Linked DNA regions of Drosophila melanogaster. Changing the gene in region 1 together with any one later gene gives a genetic interaction. Each region holds a gene or a part of one and is shown in the gene's direction. Other genes may lie near its edges.

Evidence for each region.
Region 2: of pzg (region 1) and PCNA, changing one enhances a phenotype caused by changing the other (phenotypic enhancement), as found in Drosophila melanogaster (one study listed by BioGRID).
Region 3: of pzg (region 1) and mrt, changing one suppresses a phenotype caused by changing the other (phenotypic suppression), as found in Drosophila melanogaster (one study listed by BioGRID).
Region 4: of pzg (region 1) and dap, changing one suppresses a phenotype caused by changing the other (phenotypic suppression), as found in Drosophila melanogaster (one study listed by BioGRID).

The regions. Positions count from the first base shown.
Region 1 is NT_037436.4:21,284,485-21,290,830, forward strand, and holds pzg (putzig), read left to right. Parts: upstream 1-1,614; 5' UTR 1,615-1,952; coding exon 1,953-2,583; intron 2,584-2,643; coding exon 2,644-5,003; 3' UTR 5,004-5,062; intron 5,063-5,121; 3' UTR 5,122-5,826; downstream 5,827-6,346. Other genes in the region: CG12974 (uncharacterized protein), read right to left, coding at 571-651.
Region 2 is NT_033778.4:20,261,251-20,264,758, reverse strand, and holds PCNA (proliferating cell nuclear antigen), read left to right. Parts: upstream 1-1,875; 5' UTR 1,876-2,037; coding exon 2,038-2,145; intron 2,146-2,205; coding exon 2,206-2,880; 3' UTR 2,881-3,005; downstream 3,006-3,508. Other genes in the region: RpS18 (ribosomal protein S18), read right to left, coding at 1-266, 327-512, 649-651; plu (plutonium), read left to right, coding at 1,098-1,113, 1,171-1,575, 1,630-1,733. UniProt on the Drosophila melanogaster protein: Likely to be an auxiliary protein of DNA polymerase delta complex and is probably involved in the control of DNA replication and repair by increasing the polymerase's processibility.
Region 3 is NT_033777.3:27,276,716-27,284,405, reverse strand, and holds mrt (martik), read left to right. Parts: upstream 1-1,744; 5' UTR 1,745-1,789; intron 1,790-2,558; exon of another isoform or gene 2,559-2,653; intron 2,654-3,375; exon of another isoform or gene 3,376-3,421; intron 3,422-3,694; exon of another isoform or gene 3,695-3,829; intron 3,830-3,976; exon of another isoform or gene 3,977-4,045; intron 4,046-4,363; 5' UTR 4,364-4,414; coding exon 4,415-5,228; intron 5,229-5,302; coding exon 5,303-6,816; 3' UTR 6,817-7,157; downstream 7,158-7,690. Other genes in the region: CG3368 (uncharacterized protein), read right to left, coding at 1-448, 502-564; CG5938 (uncharacterized protein), read right to left, coding at 7,669-7,690.
Region 4 is NT_033778.4:9,710,356-9,716,787, forward strand, and holds dap (dacapo), read left to right. Parts: upstream 1-1,965; 5' UTR 1,966-2,584; coding exon 2,585-2,748; intron 2,749-2,807; coding exon 2,808-3,208; intron 3,209-4,555; coding exon 4,556-4,728; 3' UTR 4,729-5,901; downstream 5,902-6,432. Other genes in the region: sqa (spaghetti-squash activator), read right to left, coding at 6,164-6,432.

The DNA.
Region 1 (6,346 bases):
ACAATAAAATAAGAGGAGTTCTCAAAACGTCAGAGCCACACTGAATAAAAATGAGCACTATTTTTAATCGGTTTTTGTTTGTCATGTTTTTTTAAATTTATATTTATATTGAAAATTAATTAAATAAAATTGTTTTATCGTTTGTTCTTCGTGTTCCGTCATTAAAGAGGTTGGATGGCTTCTAGATCGTGATATTATTCATACCCAGCGAAATATCCAATTTTGTATGTACTTATTTACGTTTACGTTTTTTAGTGTCCCAATCTAGATCTTTTGTTCATTCACTTGTTTACACACGTCAATCGGCATTATCTGATATCTGTGGTGCGGCTCAGTTCTTCAGTTTGGGAGCCGTCCCGGATGAGTCAATGAGTATTATACTCGTATCATGATTAGCTCTCCGACTGTTGGAATACTGGACTATTCGATAGGGAGAGACCATCCAATCTTAGTAAGTGCGCTCAATGTCAGGTCGAACATCTCCCCATATCACTTATCGATGAGCTGGGAATGGGGTCGCGGTCGCTTGGCGGCCTAGACTGTAACATTGAATTGCCAGCGCCGACTTACCACTCCGAGAATTCCGGCCCAAGCTGCTACCGTTTTAAGGGAGCCAAAGTGCTTGATTTTTGCCGCTGGTGCTGAATACATTTTGCAGTGACTGTTCGATATATAGGGGTGGTTTCCAGATACTGGGAGATATTCTCACGCCCCGTATGCGGGACTCAAATCGATCGGGTTGAGTGCGCTTTTGCAGTACGCGACGTCTGTTGGCCAACTGAACGATCGAGCCGGACAATTGAGTTCGCCACCCGTTTACTATATTTCCCGATAAACCTTGCGATAATGGCTCTTATAACAAAAAGCCAACTGGCCAGGGGCTTTTATTTTTTATGTTTCGCTTCGATCGAGGCGGTATCCGCTCGCTTTTCGTTTCGTTCGTTAACTGAATTCTGTGGTTTGGCTGGAACGTTTATCAGGTCGTATGTTATATTATCGCTACTGATAAGAGAGCCCCCTTCCCTTCAACTTTCCTTTGGCTAAAAGATATACCTAAATCGAATAGGTAAAACTGGAATTTCGGAATCTTATCGGTCCTATGTATTAGCACATTAGTGATGTTGGCCTTTATCACTGCGTAAATGCAAGTATTTAATGCTTACCTCACAGGTTGGGTATGCCAAATATTTACGAGGAGAATATTTGTGAATTTAAAGTGGGCGGGCAAAGGCGCCCTCTACTGTCTACAAAACGCACTGTTAATTTTGACATTGCATGATAGGAATGACGCTGAGCCTTTTTTCAAGACAAAATGTGCTAATTATTTACCTTTTACAAATACAAGCACAACAAGTAAGTATTTATTTGTATTTAACCACTCAGCAATCGCAATAAGAAAAATAAATGCTTTATTATTTCAAGTAAATAATTACGTTATCGTAATGAACGGCAACGCTGTGAGATTTTCTCTGTCTGACCATGGTTGACCTCCCAGGCAGCCGCCATTTCCGTGGCGTGCGAGTGAAACGACTAGCCCATGTTTTCCCGCCGTGCCAGGGCAGCGAGCATGCTAAAGAGCGAGACGACCATACGCGTCCGTCGAGAACTGCTACAGCACATACGCATTTTTAACCCTAAAAAATACAGCACCGAGTCTTTAGTACAGTCAAAGTGACGCCGCGACAACTCAGAACGAAACCGAAAATTAAAAACGGAAGAGATTGTTGTTCCTGGTGTCCAAAAAAGATAGATTGTTTCGTTCGAGTGGCTCATCCGTACCCGATCGATACATAAATCCCAGCAAGCTGCCAAACCGGAGTGCAGAAGTGTAGTTTGTCGTAATCGCCGATTAATATTGAAAGGTAGCGGCTTGCAGTTGCGCGTGTAGCGCCCGCACAAACCGAATAACACCATCACTACGGCGTGCTCACCTGAATCCAAAACGCCACGAAATGAACAACCAACTGAATCCGGCCACCTACCGCAAGTTTAACAATCTGCTCAGTAGCGGAGCGGTCACTGTGACCGGTCCCAGCCAGCCGCGAATCCTCAAGTCGACGCGTATGGTGGTACCCGGTGGTGGCGGAGGAGGAGGTGCCTCTGCCGGAGGAGCCTCAGCCGTTGGCGGCGTAGCACAGCAGCAGGCGGTCAACGATGCAGAGTCGGGTGGCGTGGGTATCGGCGGATTAGCCACGCGATGCTATATCTGCGATGACCGCTGCGAGCCACAGACTTCGCTAACCGATATGTGCACCACGCACACTTCCACCAAATTCCCCAACAAACTGGCCCAGCTCGTGGGCGAGGGTTTCCTCGTGATTGTTTGCGGCGAGGATTACGTGTGCTCACGCTGTACCAACCTGGTGAACTACTACGACCGCCTGGAAAACGATGTGGAGCGCGTCAAGACGAACCTCATCAGTTTGCTTAACAAGAAGTATGCCATTAACGAGGATATGGGCCAGGAAGGCAGTCCGCCGCTCAAGATGCAGAAAATGGTCGGCGGATCCGCCAATCGCTCGTTGGAGGAGAGTCCTAGTGCGGATTTGCTGCGTCCACGTAAACTCCTGCAGGGAAACCCAGGTAAGTACATAAATACAGAAATTATAAAGCTTTCCTAATGCATATTCTGCAATCGTACAGTTGGCCAGTCCAAGATCGCCCCAGGAACCACCCAGAGCAGCGTCCAAGGCACCCAGACAGTCCAACGCAAGGCCACCAAGATTTATAAATGCACCTCGTGTGACTATAAAACCTCGGATATGCGGCTGTTCAACACGCATTATGAAACCTGCAAGCAGCAGACCTTCCAGTGCAAGACCTGCCGCAAAATCTTCCCGCACTTTGGGGCCATGAAGCAGCACATGGTGCGCGACCACAATACCGCCATGGATAACACGTGTGCCATGTGTCACATTAACTTCGTGAACGAGAACAGCCTGCGCAAGCACATGGAGACGAATCACGCTACCAATGTACTGGTGACCAGCACCACCACCATACCGGCATCAGCTGCTCCCGTGGCTGCTGCTGCAGCTGCCGCTGCAGCTGCTGCCAACGAGAATCTGGTTGGAACATCGCTATACACATGCAATCATTGCCAGTTCAAGTCAACGGACAAGGTCGTTTTTGATGAGCATATGCGCAAGCATGCCGCTGGTAAACCTAAGCCTTTTAAGTGCCGCCTGTGCTCTCAGCGCTTTGAGACGCGCGAAGCTGCTACTGTGCATGCCAAACAGCATCAGACCAACTTCTTCAAGTGCGGCACTTGTTCGATGACCTTCCCGAAACGGGAGATGCTTGTTAAGCACTTCGAAGTGCATCAGAGTCCTTCCGCATCGACGGTATCGCCCAAGCAGTCAGTTAGCCAGAACCTGAACACCCAGAAGCTCCTTCAAGAGACCATTGATGAGGCACTGAGCGATAGCCTGCCTGCTTCGACAGCTGCTGTGGTGGCAACCACCGAGTCGGAGAACAACATACGCTTCTTCTCGTGCAGCATTTGCTCACTGACTTTCATCCAGGAGACATACTACAACCACCACATGGAGACCCACAGACGTGACAAGAAGGCAACTTCGGCCGGAGCCACTGCCCTAAATTCGGCAGCTACGGCTTTACTAAGCGATGAGCCCGGAGAGGCAACTGGTAAGGCCGGTGACGAGAGCGGCGAGCAAAACGCAGAGGCCGACATTGAGAGCCTGTTTGAAAAGCTCCACTCCGACAAGAACGAGAGCGGTGAGGCGCCCAAACCGGGAAGCAAAGGCGGCGAGATGGTTATTACCTCGCAGGAGGGCAGTGGAGGCATAACCTTCAACATTACTATCCCGCAACCGGACGGAGACCAATCGCAAAAGGATTCGCCCAATACCACAGCACCTGTCTCTGTTAGCATTGACATGCCAAATTTGGATCAAGCCGAAGACGAATCACAGTCCCAGGGCAGCATCGATGCCAAGGGCGAAAGCGGCGAGGCCTCCTCTGCCGATAGCAAATCCAATGCCGCACCGGTTTCCATGCCCAGTTTAGATGATGACAACGAGGCTGCAGCTGCTGAAGCTGAGGCCTCAGAGGAAACCAAGACGGCTAGCAAAGCAGGTCAAGAGAAAGCCAAGGCCAAGGCTGGAGAAAGCGCCAAGTCAAAGGAAGCCGCCGCTGCTGAGGAACCACAACCATCTGACGAAGGAGACGTAGTTGCTAAGCGTGAGGCTACAGATACGCCCACAACTGAGTCGGAGGCCAATGCCACGACCGCTGAAGCCGGTGAATCTGGCGAAGGCGAGGTTACTGCCAGTACTGGAGCCGAGGGCGAGGCGGGTGAAGCTGCAGGTGGCGAGCATGTTGCCATGGAACTTGACGAAGCCATGCAGGCACAGGTGGAAGGTGGCCAGATCAAGTTCATTGTTAACGAGAACGGCCATCTCCTCCAGCTGGACAACCACATCCTGACGGACGCCGAAGGCAACCAAATAATTGTGCAAGATCCCGAGCAAATACAGCAGCTGCTCCAAAGTGTAGGAGTTCTGCAGTCCGGCGAGGGACTTGAGGGCGAAACCCTCCAGATGATGACCGATGGCAGTGGCCAGATGGTACTTGTCCATGGTGACAACAATGAACAGCAGCTTATCGATGCCTCCCTGTTGAACTCCGAGGGGCAGTTAATTATCCAGCAGGGACAGGATGGTGAGGAAGGCGCTCATGTCATTAGCGAGGATGGTACCCGCATCCCAGTGTCCGTGTCGTACACGGAAGATGGCCAGCCCATCGTCCAGGTTCAGCAACAGGTCCTGGAGGCCGCACAGCAGGCAGCCAGCGCTTCCGGAGGTGCAGATGACAAGGAGGCGGCTGCCGACTCGGCCGGCGAGGAAGTGCAAGTGTCGGAGGCATCTAGTGGCACGGCATCCACCACCGTTGTTGCCACGAGCACGGCCAGCAGCACTGGTGGCCCCTCCGGCGGCAGCTTTTTTGCCCTGGAGGAGTTTACGGAGACAAAGACCGACTAGGATTGGCCCTAGGGGCGTGGTCATGACCACTATACCATACTGGCATGCGAAGAGGACTGGTAAGTTAAAGGAATCACCAGCGTGAACTGGGATATTCATACTTTTTCGTTTGTTTTAGGTTTTAGCTGTGGGCACGCTCAAGATCTCTGGAGGACTTTTGCACACCCCAATTTGAAACCCACTCCCTGACACCCACAACCGAACCAACTTTACAGACAACTGAACACGAAGACAGAAAAATACACACACGAACCTTTTCAATATATATTTACATTTAGTATATGTATTAAACACTCCAGTAAACTAAAAGAAAGATTTCTTATTACCCAAGCAAAGGAAAAAAACTAATTCAATAAATCAAATTGTTCATTCGGTCCGTTTCGCACTAGGCTGCCAGGGATCTCAAGCCAGATCTCTTTGGTTGCCTCTTAAATATCGTATCTAGGTTTAGTAATAGTATAGACAAAACTGCAAGATGAAAGCGACAAAAAATGTATAAACATAGAGTTTATGTGAGAAACTTGGAATATAATAAATGTATGTATTTACAAGATAACTCAACAATTACACTAAATAAATCGATTTAAACACAAACATTTGATGAAAATTAAGTTCCGAAATCGGCACAAATCAATTCAGAAATAGTGATGCTTCCTAACACCTAGTGATCCCCGTAAAATGTAAGGATAGGTGAACAATCCCGCTTTCCACTTCCATAAACTCCAGATTCACACCCAAAACAAACAAACACAGGCCGCAAACACGCCCAAATATATGCATGCACGTATATATGTCAAGCAACTTGAAATATATAATTGTAAAGAAACGAACATCGGTTTCAAGTTCCTTTATACTCTGTGAGCGATCTTTGGAATTTGGTATGCATGTAAATCAATTCAGATAAGTTAATTAAACGCGCTGATGGCAACTGTGTTCCAATGAATACAGATGACACAGAAGGCAGTCCCAAAGTTTACATATTGTCAGTATGGATCCAACCATTCATTTCTCAAGTCAGTAAGTTCGTTGACCTTTAAAATGGATTAGTCGGTTATGAATGATATTTTCGAAGTATGCATACCAGCGAAACTTTCGACTCGTTCTTAATTGCCCAACACCTGTTGGCGGCGGATGAGGTCGACTATATTTAAATGTTCAGGTAGTTGATTAATAAGATTTAATACTAAGTTGGATACTAAACTGCCAGCGGTGGCATTAAAGCATTTGGACTGTCATGAAGGCCTTATGAATGCCCCGTTCCGATCCATAAATCAGTGAATGTTGTGATTCTGAAAACAGCAACCGGATTGGCACGTGGATGCGGTTTTGGAGGAACTAATGAT
Region 2 (3,508 bases), on another chromosome or scaffold:
TTCTTCTTGGACACACCCACGGTGCGACCACGACGACCGGTGGTCTTGGTGTGCTGGCCACGCACACGGAGGCCCCAGTAGTGACGCAGACCACGGTGGGAGCGGATCTTCTTCAGACGCTCCAGATCGTCACGCAGCTTCGAGTCCAAGTTGGAGGAGGTCAGCTGCCAGTACTTGCCATCGATGATGTCCTTCTGCCTGTTGAGGAACCAGTTGGGCACCTTGTACTGCAGAGGGTTCGAGATGATGGTCACCACCTTGTCGACCTGCAAACATGGCATTTAGGTTGGTGTGCGTCTCGAACGGATTGGGCGTGCTCAACTTACCTCCTCCTCGGTGCACTCACCGGCGCGCTTGGTAAGATCGACATCGGCCTTCTTCAGCACAATGTTGGAGTAGCGGCGACCCACTCCCTTGATGGCGGTCATGGCGATGCCAACCTTGCGCTTGCCGTCGATGTTCGTATTCATGATACGCAGGATGTGCTGGAACTTCTCTGGGATGACGAGCGACTGCAAGAATGCAAAGAAAAAACATTAGTATAATGCATATAAACCACGCCATTTTTGCCAACAGCTAACGGCATTTGCAATTCACTATAAATTTGTCGTTTGGCGCTCAGAATCGCACATATTTGAGGTAACTCACCATTTTGCCGTTTGTATTCTCGTATTTACTCCTCACTGTAAAGAATTAAGAGGTATTTTGTTTTAGAATTTTGGAAAAATCAAATGGGCAGCACACCACTCACCGGAAACGGGAAAAGAAAAGAAGGCCGAATTAATGTGGCTGCCTGAGGCGGAGTAAAAAACCTAAAATTGCCTGCCACGTTCGGGACGCGTGCTGTTAATAGTTCGCCGTGTGCTGTTAGGCGCACTCTGGTCCATCACTAATGCAAATTTAAAAATTCAAAAGGCGCCGAACTTTTGTTCAATGAAAATGCTTAAAGTGCCATTTAGATATGCTCTGTGTGCACATTTAAAAAATTAAACTTCATATTTTATGTTTCTTTATATTTTATATTTTATTCCCCACATTTCGTAATACGTTTTATCGTACTGCATCCCTAGAGCACCGTTATATGAAAGCTTTTCAGAATGGGTGAAATAAATGGTAAATTATATTAGCTATGCGAATTTCCAATATTGATAAAAATGCATTGCATTTAAGCACTCAGCTGCGTTGGACAGGACGATGTCGTTTCCCTGCGCATCGTGTGCACCATGGCTCGCGACGGCAAGCAGCACAACCTCGAGGATGTGGACATGTACGGGAATACCGCCCTATTGAAGGCCTGCTATTTGGGTCGATTTGAGTGCGCTCGTACGCTGCTGGAATTCGGTGCAAATATCTTTGCTATGAACTATTTTGGTCAAAATGCCCTGACACTGGCCACTTATGCTGGGCATTTGACTTTAGTAAAGGAACTGTTGAGGCGAAGATCCTACAAGGATTTCAATCTGTCCTCGATGATCCCGGCCCTCTGTGTGGCTACACTGCAAAAACACTCCGCTTTGGTGGCCTATTTTACTCAATTGGATTCGAGGGGCGTGCAAGAAACTCAAACAGTGCATGGTTAGTAAAAATCAAGTGTATTTATATAGTAACATTAAAGTAAATTTATTTCAGGTCTGGGAGTTGCAGAGCTGCGAGGAATGATTAAAGCTGCAGGCCGCTTAGATAAGCGCAATGTGCGCTCTCCTCCCACTTTTATTAGCAATCGTCTGCGTTAATGTATTGTCATTTTGTAATAATTTATTAATTTTAATGTTTGAAATAAATATACTCTGTAAAAAGTGTGAACATAATATGTTAATCAAACCAGTTGGCAGGCCGCTCGCTGGCTGCTATCGATAGATTCAGTCGATATCGCCCGTGGCTTTTCACATCCCTATCCCGCTCATTTAGCCCGCCTGAAAGTAAAAAAAAAAAACAGCCCACGTTAATCATTCATCCCAAAGTCACAGCCGCGGTAACATTACTGCTGTTAAATTCTTAAGCCCGTCATCAGTATTTAAATAATAAAACACATTCAATATGTTCGAGGCACGCCTGGGTCAAGCCACCATCCTGAAGAAGATCTTGGATGCCATCAAGGATCTGCTCAATGAGGCAACCTTCGATTGCAGCGACTCCGGCATTCAGGTAAAAATTGCACAAAAAAGATTTTAAATGCATATCCCTAACACCTTGTTCAACTTACAGCTACAGGCCATGGACAACTCCCATGTGTCGCTTGTCTCGCTGACCCTGCGTTCCGATGGCTTCGACAAGTTTCGCTGCGACCGCAATCTCTCCATGGGCATGAATCTGGGCAGCATGGCCAAGATTCTGAAATGCGCCAACAACGAGGACAATGTGACGATGAAGGCGCAGGATAACGCCGACACTGTCACCATCATGTTCGAATCGGCTAACCAGGAGAAGGTATCGGACTACGAGATGAAACTGATGAACCTCGACCAGGAGCACCTGGGCATACCGGAGACAGACTTCTCGTGCGTGGTCCGCATGCCGGCCATGGAGTTCGCTCGCATCTGCCGCGATCTGGCGCAGTTCAGCGAATCCGTTGTGATCTGCTGCACCAAGGAGGGCGTCAAGTTCTCGGCCAGCGGCGATGTGGGCACCGCCAACATTAAGCTAGCCCAAACCGGCTCTGTCGACAAGGAGGAGGAGGCGGTGATCATCGAGATGCAGGAGCCGGTGACGCTGACATTTGCCTGTCGCTACCTGAACGCCTTCACAAAGGCGACGCCATTGTCCACCCAAGTGCAGCTGTCGATGTGCGCAGATGTTCCGCTGGTAGTCGAGTATGCGATCAAGGATCTGGGTCACATTCGCTACTACCTGGCACCCAAGATCGAGGACAACGAGACATAAGTCAGCTGTGTTCCTCATATTTATGTCCCCGCATCGTCACCACTCATCTTCCCACGTTCACTTCATTCCTAACTTTTAAGTAAATCCGCATTTTTTGATCAATAAAAGCTATACTGTGTAATGTTAACTGGCTGAGTTGTACAATTGATTTTAGGGCGTAATAACCATTTATTCGCATTCCATATATAACACTGGGTATCGTTTAAGGAGAGAGAGATTGCAAACATATACATATTAAGAGTAGTGGTTTATCAAACACCTTGGCGTGGGATAGACAAAAAACCTTGGCATATCTCCGACATTGAAGTTTGTTAGCCTCCGCAGCTGCAGAAAATCTGGACATACCATTGGGGAGTTCTAAATCAAGGGTAATAATGGGCGATTATTCTATTCACTGTGTATAAGTACTCGTTCCGTATGAGGCACATAGTCGGGAGTTTTGCAACAAAGAGCTTTAAGCGAGTGTGTGCCTGCATTCAAGAGCATTAATCGTATGTAAATACATGTAATAAATAATGCGTGTTTACACGCTTCCAATACTTGCATACTTGGCTTGCTTATGCTAGAAGCTACATACATACGTATCCTATACTTAGTTTGTGAGTATATAAAACATAGAAAGCTGTGT
Region 3 (7,690 bases), on another chromosome or scaffold:
GCGTCTGGCGTTGCAGGCAGTGATAGAAGTGCTCCAACTTCAGCGGAAGGAGTTGCAGCTTGGGGAACTTCTTTACCAGCAAGTTTGTGGCCTTCAGCACGGCCATCAGGCTGGGATTGTTGCGCTGCAGAGCCTCAATTATGGCAGTGGTGCATTTTTCCTCCAGCAGCGCAGCATCGAGACGCTTCCAATGGTCGGTGAGCAGAATGGATTGGAGCATCAGGAAGGCAGTGGGTTGCTCGCTGGTCAAACGCTGGAAAAGATCCGCGAAGTGCGAGTCTTGTAGTTCGTACTTGTGCACTATGTGGTAGTACACACGGAAGCTAATGTTCAGGGCGGCTTGATTGGCACCACTGCACGTGTCCGCCTGCGCCGCCTCATCCTCCTCCGTCTGTATTCGTTGGGCCAGCTGCAGTGCGGCATCCTCCGGGCGGACATCTCCCAGGCCCTAGAAAGAACACAATATGTTACACCTCAGTCCCCGTGCCGTACTCAATTCACCTGCAGGTAGCAGAGGCAATCGCTGGGTCCGATTTTTGGCCGTTTTCCCGGAGATTCCGACATGCCCAATCTCAATTCTCACAACTTTCGTCTTACCACAACCAGGGCTCCACAAAACCGGCCACTGCGCTACGATAATTGCGCGGTAATCGATAATCGATGGCTTTTCGTTATCTAAAAACTTGAAACGCCCAACCGTTGTTGATTAAAAATTATGTTTCCAATTAATGTGACATATAATTTTTATATTTATCATTTATAGCGGTACCAAGTACTTCGTTTAGAGACTCAGTGTTTAAAATTTTCGTTATATTTTGTGAGGGATGGCTGTCTGGTAATGTTAACTAGGTACAGGGTACTGTATTCTGTTTTCTTTTACAGCGTTTTTAAATATTAAAAAGATGATAAATTTTTTTTTTTTTTAATAAACTTTATTAACAACAATCTTTGAATATAAAGCTTTCACAAAGCAGCTGTTTGATACAACCGATAAAATTAATTCGATAGCAGAAATTGCAGATCCGTAAGTTCAAAAGTTTTCTTGACAACCACAGCGCGTACAGGAAACGAGAAAAATATAATATTTTAAAGGTATTTCATGCAATCGATATAACAAACCGAAGACCAAATTGGCTCTTTGTTTTTTCAAGTGAGTGCTCCCTACAAAGTTCGTTATGATAAGAAAATGCATGTGTTTGTGCTCTTGGATTCAATGCTTGCAAGGTTTGCCTCGCGTTTTGTTTATTTATTTGCATACATGAAATTCAGATAAACGTGTGGATTTTCCTAGAACTGGTGCCATGCGTAATTAATGCAAATGCTTTCCGCATTTCCCAGCGTCGTGCTGCTCATCCACAGAGAATAGCTGCAGCCGATTTCAAGTTTCCTGTTCTGGCATCGCTCCCAGTTCGAAAACTCCAGCTTCCCCGCAACCCATCTTTTCGGTCCGCCCAATACTTGTAAATCTAGTTTCGACTGACTTCAGCACATGGCTTTCAGATGCGATACGAGATACAACCTATTCGCATTCTCGGCATCTGCCACCCCGAAAATTTCAAGGAAGCTCGGCTGAATGCGAATTTTTTGAACCAGTATTCAGCAGGTCGCCTATGTACTCGGTGTACATGGAGTTCTTATGCCGCAAAGGGGTAGTTTCTCACCTGTAAGAGGATTCACGAAAACCTTGTTTACCACACAGCTTGGCAGAAGCTCGATTTCCTACTGAGAATCCAATTTACAGTAGTCTCCCGTCGACAAGAACCTGAAATCGAATACCCAAAGGCCTAAGGTAATTCGATATCTTTGCTATTACACAAAAAGCAAGTTATTACAGTCGAGTGCGATTATCTGCGTTCACTTTGCTCTGACTACAGTGCGCACCAAAAGTAATCTCCCACAAGAACTTTGAAATGCTATAGTTAAATCCGTTAAGCCGTGAGTTTCGCTTTATTTTTAAATACTATTGCTCAGTTTCTAAGCTCAGTTATCCAACGGGCTTAAATCTCCAAAGTTTCAAACCTTTGAGCTAACACTCTTAACTTAATCTGCAATATTGAATTTAAAGATTATAGATAGTCTGAAACTTTCCGTTAGAGTCTTCTTCACTTCACGGAGAATGGCAGACGAGCGGAAAACAAAACTTGAAAAATCATTATACTCGATTTCAACATGTGTATACTACATTAAAACTGTAGCTTTTTGCAGTTTTTATTTGCTGTGTGTGTGTGTGTGTGTGTGTGTACGCGCGCGAACCCATAAATTTATATATTCCCCGAAATAACCCCGTTCTTAAAAAAAGAGCGGAATAAAAACGTAAATGGCAGCGAAAGAAGAAAAGGCGAAATAAAAAATAATAGGCAACTGTCTCTCCGGCAATCTCTCGCAATCTCAAAAACAACTAGCGACCATAACCATTATTTGTACCTTCCGAATACGAATACGAATACAAGTACGAACACGAATATATAACGTCGTAGCGCACACGCACACCAGCACAGGTGGCCGTTTATATAGTTGGGTTTTTGTAGGCCCGTTCGTCGCTTTTTCGAGTTTTAAAAATTAGTATTGAAATCGTCGTTAACGGCGACGGTTTGCCTCAGTTTTGACGCTTGAAAACGGTCGTATTTTCCACTCTCTCGCCGCTCTCTCGCTGGTAAGTGTGTGTGCAGTGAGCGAGCGCGTGCATGTGTTTGTGTGCAAGGTGTTGCTCTGCTTGGAAATAAATAAATAGTTCAAGTCGAACGAACTATTTGAAACTAATTGGCAGGCATGTGCATTAAGTTATCAACCGTTGCCATTAGCCGATTAGCGAAAAATGCCAGACAAAATATCACTTGTCAATAATGGATGTTAGTCACTGTGAAGGAAAGTTACGTTCTGTTTCTTTTTCTTGAAAAATTCTCAACTGCACATAACAAGCGTAAATTCGTTCGTCCCCGTCCGTGTGTGTGTGTGGGTGAGCCGAGCTGTGGCGAGAGCAAGACAGCGAGTTTAGTTCACTCTCTCGGCTCTCGCCAACCCGCACACCACCCCCCCCCCCCTACACCGTGCTCCATCTATTGGCTTATTATCGTATCTTTTTCATTACAGTGCTCTGCAGGCGATTTAAATTAAGTTGGCAATTACATTTCCATCTGGGAATTCAGTGGTTAGTGTGCCAGTTCGGAATTAGTTTGTTAATTGGGGCTGCCAAGGAAGAATCCGCCATGCAGAGCACACATCATGTGATATGTCATTCTGAAAGCTGCTTTTCGAACAACCCCCAACCACTGTGCGAATCTTGGTCGTCGTCGCTGGAAAAATACTCAAAATTTGAGATTCGATTCTAGTTTCAACCCGCCACTATGAATCTTTATATGTAACTTGCCCGCTTTCATTCATACTCGTTGTTCAGTACTGGCGGCGTATCATCCTCCGAATTGTAAGATGCGTAATCGGTTCTTAAATGTGTATTTCTACGCTGTATTCGGTTTTCGGCATTCGACGCTATCTTGTTTACTTGCATTTGGAAATCACTATCTCAAATATGTTCTGTTATTGAGCGTGTTCCACTTGCCACTTTGTCGCAGTGTATCTGTGTGCGGGAGAGTTCGTTTTTTACGTTAGCTTTTTGCTGTCATTCGTTTTGAAATAATCAAAATCGATAAAAAATTATATATATATATACATATAAGTTTCGTCGCTTTAGATTTGTAAGCTCTTTTCGTGCATTTATTTGGCTACGGCGAGCGTGTCGGTGAGCTGCCACCTTTGATGGGTTTCGATTTCGATTTCGGTTTCGGAATGTGTTAAACAGTTGGAAACACGTCAACTTTACACAAACAAATGTGTATGTGCCAGTAAATATCGAGTTGGTGGTGGATTCTGAAGACGAAAACCGAAACCTAACCGAATCCACGACTGCCTAACTTTTGACACAAAAAGTCCAAAACTGGATTTTTTCGTTGGCTCGTAGCCAGCATTTTTTTTTTAAACCATCTGCCAAGTGAATTTCCAGTGGGCAGAAGTATACATATCAAACGGAAGTCGATTTGCTGATTGAGAAGTTAGAATCCGAATCATATTTAATCAAGTTTTTCTGCAGTTTAAAATACCTATGTGATTTATGTAATATAGCCTTCAAATGAAGCGCGTAGCATGCTTTTAGTATAAATAAAATTTGATTACTAAAACAAGATTGAAGTAGTCATTTTTGGGCACAGAATGCCTACTATATGAATATGACTGACAATGTGTCTAAAAACTGAATTTTCGAGTTTTCCAAAACTGGTTATGACATCGGTTGTCAAGTCAATATTTCGTGGTTTTCGAAAACCAATTTTTAAACTAATATTGGAATATTTTCTTGCTTGTTTTCCAACAGCATCGGGAATTTAAGACCTTGATCAAAGGGTGCACCCTGAGAGCCACATCCATGTTAATGCCTCGCTACTTGGATAGCTCCACGTCGTCTGGCAGTCACGGAGCTGCAGGAGCGACCAACAGCTCCTCCTCTCCGCCGACGACGGTGGCCGCTCACACGAAGATGCGGCTGCTAAGTAAAGTGGAGCACAACATGCGTCAGAGCCAAGGTCACATCCAGAGCAACCAGAGCAACGCGAGCGGCCAGGACATCAACCACCTCCTGCACACGGCCTCCACGGGCAACGGCGTGGTGGACGATGTCGACGGACTGCTGACGCCCATGCGCATTAAGGCGCACATGTCGCCACCCTACTCCGCCGGCAGTTCGGTGAAGAGCGATTCCCTCGGCTATAGCCCTCGGCCGGAACGCAACCTGTGGAGCCGGGCCGAAATGCTGGAGATGCTGAGCATCATGCAGAACCTGAACGCCCTCGAGCAGCTAAACGACCGGAACATGAAGAGCGAGCAGGTCTTCCGGCAGATCGAAGAGGTGATGCGCAGCAAGGGCTTCGTGAAGAAGTCCAGCATTCAGATCTGGACAAAGTGGAAGTTCCTCAAGTCCACGTACAACACAACAACGCGACATGGTACGGGTGTGCCCAAGGTGGTGCCGGAGGAGGTTTACCGCGTGCTCTGCCGGATGTTAAGTGATACAAATCATGGCGGCGGCAACAGCAATGTCAACGGCAGCCTTAGTGAATGCGGCAATTCGATGGACAGTTCCAAGACGGCGGGCGATGATAACAAGGAGGATATTCTCGGAGTGGAGCATCCCATATTCGGCTTCCGACTGGGACCCATTAAACCCGAGCCAATTGATATAGGTGAGTGGGATTGTCAAAATGAAAGTATGTTAAGAGAGTCATTACTGAAAACACGTACCATTCTATATTTGCAGGCTATGAGACGACCGAAAAACATGATATGGTGTCCGAGCCCGACATGGAGTCGTTCGACTACGAGGCAGGAAGCTCCCATGCCGACAACGGCGACCAGGAGGATGTGCCCCACTTGCCGTTTATAGTGTCCGTTAAACATGAACCCGACGTGGATCTGGGCATGGACACCACCAACACACCGCCGCCCACAGCGCCAGCCTCGCCTTCACCGCCACCAGTAACTGTGGATGACACCGAAGATGACAGCGTTTACTCATCCACGCCGGTGGCACCACCTCCCCTGCGTGTGGCCTCCTTTGCCAAGGGCGAGTTGCGACGACCCACCCACGGCATACTGCAGATCGACCGCCCGCCACCGACGCTCACCAAGATGGGACAGCAGCAGATACCCAATCCGGGCCAGATGAGCCGGTCCGTGCCGCTTCAGAGCACCAGCAGCATAAACTTTGTCCACCCACACAGCAAGTTAATGTTACCGAGAAGGCAGAATCCGAATAGCAGTCAGTCCGGGCTGCGACTGCCCAGGGATATCAGTGTCCAGTCGACAGGAATGCGTATGAAGACGGTGCCAATGAGGGACACGGGCTACTCGCTGCGTCCGGATCGAATGACTCACGACATCGATCAGTCCACGTCCAGTCCACCGCAGTCGCCGTCCACAATGTCCAGTCTCTTGGGTCGCGGGCCGCCACCGAAGTATCAGATAGCTGGTCAGCAAGCAGGTGCTTCCACCAGCAGGCAGGCCCACATGATGTCTTCCCACCAGCTGACACCGGTGCAGCACCAACAGCTCCAGCCGCGAAAGCGTCGATTGGGCCAAAGTCCGGTGATGGGAATGCCCGTGCCGGTGAAACTGCAGCGCAGCAGTAATATGTACGGCTCAGCTCCGAAAGATATCCGATCTCACCCTGCGGTTGGCGAGGAGAGCAAAAAGAAGTCCAGCGAGGAGGAGACCAAGCAGCGCAGAAAGCGTCAGGACGAGCTGCTGGCCAAGGAACTCAGCCAACTGGCTTCTGCCATGCGCACGGCACAGAAGGAGATGTTGCAAGACTTCTTCCTCCAACAGAAGGAGATCGCACGGCGGGAGCACGTGTTCCAGATGAAGCAGGACTCGTTGGTAATGCGGACGCTGCGCAGACAAACAGATGCGCTGCTGAGAACAGCCAACGAGCTGGTCAGTGGAGTTTCCGAGGCAGCTAAAATGGAGCCCGACGATAAGGAAGGTGTCATTCCCGAAACTCAAATGCCGTTCGAGCCAGAAACCGAGCTTCAGACTCCGGAAAGCGAGGAGGACAATGAAAATGGAGAAGGGTATGCTGGCGATGATGTGCAGGAAACTATGGAAGAGCCAGATTATGAAGACAATGAAGATGATGATTATGAGCACGATGAGGACGAGGAAGACGAAGGCGACTACGACGAGAACATGGCCAATGACAGCGACCTGGAAATGTCCAATCTAGCCATGTCCGAGGGCTCCAACAATGCCGAAATCATTAGCGGAGGGCACTAGATGGCTATCTCCTAACTTCCTAACACATCGCCAAGTATTACCCCAAAAAGACAAACACCATTGTTAATACCGATTCATTCCAATCGCATTCCTTAAGCTATATATACTAACCATATATATATATATATATATTCCTAGAGCCAGACCCGCGCATTGTTAAAAGACTTGATTATATTTAAGCATTAATACATAAATGAAACCTAAAGTAAATTAAAATGTATTTATTGTTCATCAACCGTCTATGCCCCAAAGTGCTGTAAAGTTATTGAAACCACAAAATACTTAGGTAACCATATGATATATATCAAAATATATATGTACCTTGTACATTACATGAACAGAATATGTGTGAATTTGTTCGGGTATCGAAAGTGGGCTTTGAATTCTTAGTTGAAAAATATTCATTTACTATGAATGCAGTTAGAAAAACACATTTTCGAAATCACTGTAAATTTCCTAACACGAAATTTATTAAATAGTATTGCATTAGTTTGGGAAACAAATAAGAATTTACAACTAAACGAAAAACAGAAAAAGTAGAGCGCCCTAAAGTTACGAGAAATCAAACTTACCGCCTAGAGTTCTTGCAAAATTTTGTTATAAACCGAACATGAAATAGTAGCTAGCTTAAAATGACAATCTGCGAGTGCACTAAATTAGTTAATGCCCATTGTGTGTGCTGTGCCTGCGCCTGTCCTGTCCTATGGATTAGTGTACCTATACTCTCTGCTGATTAGCACGATCCGTAAACGCCTAAAGCAAAGTGTTAGCAGCTAGTGTTTATTTTACAATTACCATTACGACAACCCCGCGACCCTGTGATACCACGCCCCTCCTCCTCCACGACGGCACTTAGTCGGGCCGGTAGATGGGC
Region 4 (6,432 bases), on another chromosome or scaffold:
CTGGGCTTTGTTGAGGTTTTAGTAGATACGAGATAATGTTCTACCGACCGCGCGACCTTTGACTAGGAAACACTGATGATATTTGCCTAGCCCTTATCTACTCGGGGGGGGGGGGGGGGGGCCATAGTTGAGTGCATATTAGGGAATTCGGATAAGATCCAATTCGATCCTACCAGCATTAAGGACTGCAATCAAGTGAATACCTTGAGTGCCATCCAATGCCCGCACGTTCCACGACAATCCTTTAGGATCTGCCCTCATAAGCGGGACACTTGAGAACCGCTTTTCCACCTCTTTTCTCAGCCTTTTTTTTTTTTGTTTTTCCGCGTGTGTTGACACAACCCATATAAAGCCAGGATATCCTGCTCGGGAGGAAATTACTTAAAGGGATCACGAACTCTTCCCCTTTCGAAAAACTCCTTCTTGAGTTGTTTATGTTTTCAGGCATGACTGCCGCCGAACGCCAGTAGAATTCTCAAATTTGTTATAAAGTGTGTAAATTCACGTTGCTTTTCTTTTTGAGGGAGGGTGTGTCCCATAAACAGAAAACCGAACCACAAGGGATCGGATCTTATGGGAGTGGAAAGGAACGAATTATGGATGGATGATGATGCTGCCTAATCGAACGTTCGTCAAACGATCTCTGCCTTTTTTGGGGTGATTGCACTCCGTTTTTTCTTGTTTTTTTTTTTCTCGGGTTTTTGTGTGGAAAGCCGATGGGTTTTCCCATTATTTCGTCGAGTGCAAAGGACAAAGCAAATGATGTCTTTAGTCTACGAATCTGACTTCCAAGGCTTTGTCCCAATTCTTTCCTTCTTATTTAATTGGATTTGTTCAAACAATATAAATCTCGTTTTATTGCCTTTGGTAGTGTAATTTAATTTTTTACGATTTTGCACACGAAAGGAAAAAAACTTTATGAAAATGCAGCACGAAATGAGCAGAAAACTTGCGTTTCACAAAGTGAACCATAACGGAAATTTGAAATACCCAGTGCTATGCAAACACCACAAGGAAATTCGAACTAGACGTGCACATTATTTTACATACATACATACATACATCGTACAAATGTATATTTGGTGGACCAGTGCCCCACAATGCAAGCGCGATTTTCCCCTTGGCAACACGAGGAAAGTGAAAAGAATTGGTGCCCCAAATGCCCCCTGCCACTTCCCTCCGACGACTAAAAATCCAGTTTGAGGCCAAACAAACCAAAACCATAACATCGTTTTTTCGTATCTTCCCATCGCAATCGCAACTAAAAGTACAGCTCCACCGATGCAACAACAACCAAGAAGGCAGCGAACAGAACACACGGATGGAAATGGCAGGGATGGGTAGATGGCGTGCGAGAGAGTGGGAGACATATGGTGAGAGAGAGAGAGGTTGTGGAAGTTGTGACGACTTTCTTGATACGCTCTATGAAGGAACCTTGGACAGTTTAAAATATAATTAAATTGGTTATTTCAAAAACATTAAAAATAAAATCTGGTTGAATACTGTTTACAAATGAACTATGGGCTTATGAGCTGTGAATATTATTTGACAGGAAATAATGAAAATAATGATAATAATAATAATAATAATAATAATGAATACGTATTATATATTGTACTATATGATGATTCCAACAATCAATAATTATATTAAAGCTCATAATATCAAAACTTTTAAACTCAGATGCCTTAGTTAAATTTTGTTAGGAAACTTTTATTTTTCTGAGTATTTTTTATACGTTTGCTATATAAGTTTAAAGAACAATTCAAAGGAAGTGCATTGCTCTTTCGATATGATTAACATTAAAAGCGCATTCTTTTTCCCTATCTCTTTCGCTCCTGCTGCTTTTCCGATCTTTTCGAATTCGAGGGTTGCTACAGAGAGAGCGTGAACCGCTCTGAATTTCCAGTTGGCAACGCCTCTGGTGGTTGTTTGACGTTTGCTTTTGCCCAGTGTTTTATTTATCTTTTATTCGTTTCTCCGAGTTCGTCGAGAGAGGTTCGCTTCGATCGGTAGCGCTATATTTAAAAATCTAGTGCGCAGTGCGCTCATAGCCGAAAAGGTTAACAAACATCGCTGTAAAAACGACTTCAAGTTGTAAAGACAAATATAATACAAAGGTGCTGCCATTGGCAGCTAACTCATACAAAAACTCCAACGAGACCCGCAAACGTTTCGTTTTGTGAGTCGACTAGCAGTGCAGTGTGTTCGAATCGCCATTCAAAGATAGTGACCAAGTGCTATTGGACCAAGGCATTTGTTTATAATTATTTTTATAAACAATTGCAGCGTGAAATTTCACTTTTGAACGCAGCAAGACGTAAAATAAGCTGCAGCACAACGCACACACAGAACACTCGCTCTCCCTCTCACATACACACACGCTCGCGTGTGGAGACCGTGATTTGTATTCGTGTGGAGACTGCCTCTCTCTCTTTTGGGGCTGTCTGAACACAAAGTTTTGGCGCCAAAAGTTTGACAGTTCGCTTTGGCGTGTAATTCGCAAACAAGTGGCAAGAAAAGTGCGTCTCAAAACAGAGTAGAAAACACTAGGGGATCCCAAAAAAATATATATTGACTCAACATGGTCAGTGCCCGAGTCCTGAATCCTGTGATGATCAGTGAGTTCTGCAAGATGAGCAGCAGCCCGGCGGTGAGTCGCAATCTGGCATGCGGTCGTCAGTTGAATCGCATAAAGCGTGACCTCTTCGGTAGCTCCAAATCCGCCGAGGGTACAGCCAACAAAACGTGAGTTTCTATAATAACAGTTGGATTTTGACCAATAGCTAACAATATATCCTCTTTAGACCCTTTAATTCCGAACTGGAGCGCCATCAAGAACTGGCCACGCAAAAATGGGGCTTTGACTTCCGCGCCGGCTGCCCTTTAGCTGAAAAATCACCCTACATTTGGGAGCGCGTCAGCTTCCAGGAGTCGAGCTTCGCCCCAGAGATGTACACCCTAACACGGGCCGCCCACGTACGCCCTTCCGCGGATGCAAGTCCTAGCGACATGGACATTTTGGTCAACGAGCGCTCAGAACGGGAGAACTTTGGCTCCAATCTGGTCAATTCCTCGCTAGAGTCGAACACGGATAATGAATCTTGTTACGACTCCCAGGACGAGTCGCTGGCAATGCGGCTTAGCTCCTCCAGCACGACAAGCACATCCTCCATAGTCCTGCGCAAGAGACAGCCAAAAATCACAGGTGAGTTTTGGGGGATGTTCTACACCATTTTGATCAGTAGAGCTTGACGGTTCCCAGGGTCAGGCTTCATTTCACTTCGATAGACGTTACAAAGTGTTTTCCCATAGCTTTCCTTTTATTCCCTGTTTATTTTCGGTTCTCAGGAGGAAGTTGAGGGTGTTTTTTTTTTTTTTTTAACTTATCAGGCTTGTTTTGTAATCGGACTGATACGATATTATTTTTCAAAATTATCTGTAGAGTAGAGAGTATTATCTAAAAATTTCCGAATATAGTGCTCGAGATATAAAAGTAGATTCGTGCTCTTTGTTTTGCAAACTCGATGAAAACGATTTTCATCAATGATTTTATGCCAAACCAATATTTTGTGCAGGATTTTGTACTTACAATACTAAACTCCATAAGGGGTTGTTTGATTGGTTTTAAGTCCACTCCTTCGCATTTATTGTTTATATTCACGTTTTAGTTGTGGGCGTTTTTCGTGAAACTTAGACCCAAATTATAGCAATTAGCCAATGCTTTGTGGGAGATTTATTTTCGTCCAGAAGGGTAAGTCAAAGCTGACTGCAGCTGTTTCAGCTCCTCATCTCCCTAAACCGAATGATTCTCTTCTGATCCTCCACAACGCGGGGGTTGGTTTCCAGATCGATAGCATGCGGGCTGGCTGGCTGCATCTATAAATGCCAACAGCTGTGACTCCGCTTTGTCTATGGCCTGACCTCATTATAGAAAACGGGAGAGGGGTCTGGGGATCGGCTTTCAATGCACCACCATCCAGAGTCCATGGTCTTATCAAACCTCCCTTTGATTGCTTTGTACTGAGCGTTTTTTATAAATGCCACTAGCACATGCATGTGTAATTATAATCATAAAAAAATTGTGTCTGTTCGGAACATAATAAATGCACCCGCATCGGGTGGTCAGTAGGGAAGCCTTTGAATCCCCCAACGCCTCAACTCGCTTTACTTAAAGTGCACTTTTTGCTGCTTTGGCCAGTAAGCTAGAGCTCATAATTTATGCAGTTATGTAGCACCACCACTCTTGCTTTCACCGGACTACCTGAAAACCGGCTAAAGACCGACTGTCTGGCTGCCGTCTGGCATTTATTTGCTACCCCTGTGCGGATCTGCAACCCTCTGGTAGGGAAGTGCTGCCGTCCACGTGCCACAATCTGGGAATCTACCCGAAACCGAAATCAAAATGTGCAAAAACAGAAAAACAGGCGGCGCCTGCTGTTTAGGGATCAGTGACTTGTGAACAGGGGCAACCGGAAATGCAGCAGCTGACTTTGATTTGGCAATTCCACCTAACACGTATTAATAACACTCGTTTTCCTTCCTTTGTTTACAGAATTCATGAAGGAGCGCAAACGTCTGGCCCAGGCACCCAAGAAACTATCGCCCGCAAAGCGCATGCGCACCAGTTCTCCCAGTTCGTCCGCCACTTCCAGCTCCAGCTCCAGCGGTGGATTTGGGTTGGGGGCACACTTTGGGGCGATGTTGAAGCGGCCGCGCCACAACTAATGCTCCAGATTCGCTGGCCAACCCACCGAATTGCAATTTGTAATTTTATTTTTTACAAGCCACTGCGATTGTGTAGTATTTCCTAATTTTTTATTACGAACCTTTTTATGCAGTGCAAGGGCGACAGTTGCGAATATTAATCGTTAGTCTTCAACTACTCGTAACCAGTAATTAGTTGTAAGTCAACCAGTAAGCTCGAGCTAAATGAAACTTTTTAGATTTCTCTAGTGAGAAATGCCATAAACTAAGTGATTAGTTCTTAACAACAAACAACTATTGAACAAGAAGAGAGAGACCGCAAGCTAAATGGAATTAGTCTTAACTATCTTGAAGCCAACCGAAATTTAACCTTTATAACGATGGAATACTAACTTTACATAACTTTGTGAAATCCTTGCAAATTTCGCCGGCAACTTTTGCATTTGAAATTTGCCGGGTGAACAAAACTCATCCTTTCTCTGCCCTGCCACTTCATCCAAGTACTGAAACTGAGGGGAGAGTAGAATTGAGTTTTGTCTTGCATATTAAGGGCGCCAAAACGATGCCCCAATAAGCCGCATTTCGGCTCATTGCTGCTTTGTTTTTGCGACCTACTAACATTGTAACCAATTCGACCAGTGGAAAACAAAAAAAAAAAAGAGGAATGCCTTTGAATTAACTTCGTCAATTTCTGCACGTTTGGATGCCTTATTTATATGAATGCCGCCGAATGGACACAAATTGTCGCGCTCTCATTTCTTAACCAGTGCTAAAAATGTCTTTTATGATTTGCTATGATCTCTGGGCAAATTATGAAAACAATTTTGCCTGAAACTATCATGTACAAAAACTAGATTATTATACATACTATACACATAGGCAGAGCCTATTCTTCATAACACTTATACAAAGCATTAATTTGTAAGGCCTAACTAAGAACAAATCCAAAGTATTCTCCTAATATTTATATGTATAGACACTCTATGTATAATTAAACCATATTCAACTCATACATCAATAAACAAAACAAAAACAACGCGATTGTCCTGTTTCAAAATTACCAACACATCCGCATTACTTTGGTTGTAGACGTAGCAGTAAAATGTAGTTTACTAAAACAATTTTGTACATTTTATAAGTTAATATTTGTTTTTCTGCAATAAATTGTTTTTGATTTTCTAGTTGGTAGTACATAAATCGCGTTTTTAATTTTTAATTTCATTTTTATAAAATATCGTGGGATGCCAACAAAATTCAATCCCGCGTCAATAGAAACGAATCATTGCTTCAGTTTTATTCAATAAATTAATTTGATTTATTGCTTACATCAAGTACATAAATATTAATTTGTTCCATTCGACGCTTTGTAGATTTACCTATGTGCCAATTAGTTGATCTGTACTCTACATACAAATATATATATCGCATATATACAGAGGGCTGTGGATATGGGCACCTACTTGCCCGCCGCCTTCTCCTCCAGCTGGGCTTGAATGTGGCGTACGTTGTGGCCGCCGCCATTGGGGTTGTGGCGCTGGAAGAAGGCGTTGATGGAGCTCATGGAGCGGTACTCCAGATTGTCGCTGACCCGCCAGTCCACGCTGATGCTCTGGTGACGACCCACCGGATTGCGGATGCGGGTCTCGTTGTATTTCTCCAACAAATGCAGCAGGCAATCCTTGGTGGTGTTGGCCGCCTCCTCCAGATTCACGGTTTGATGAGTGT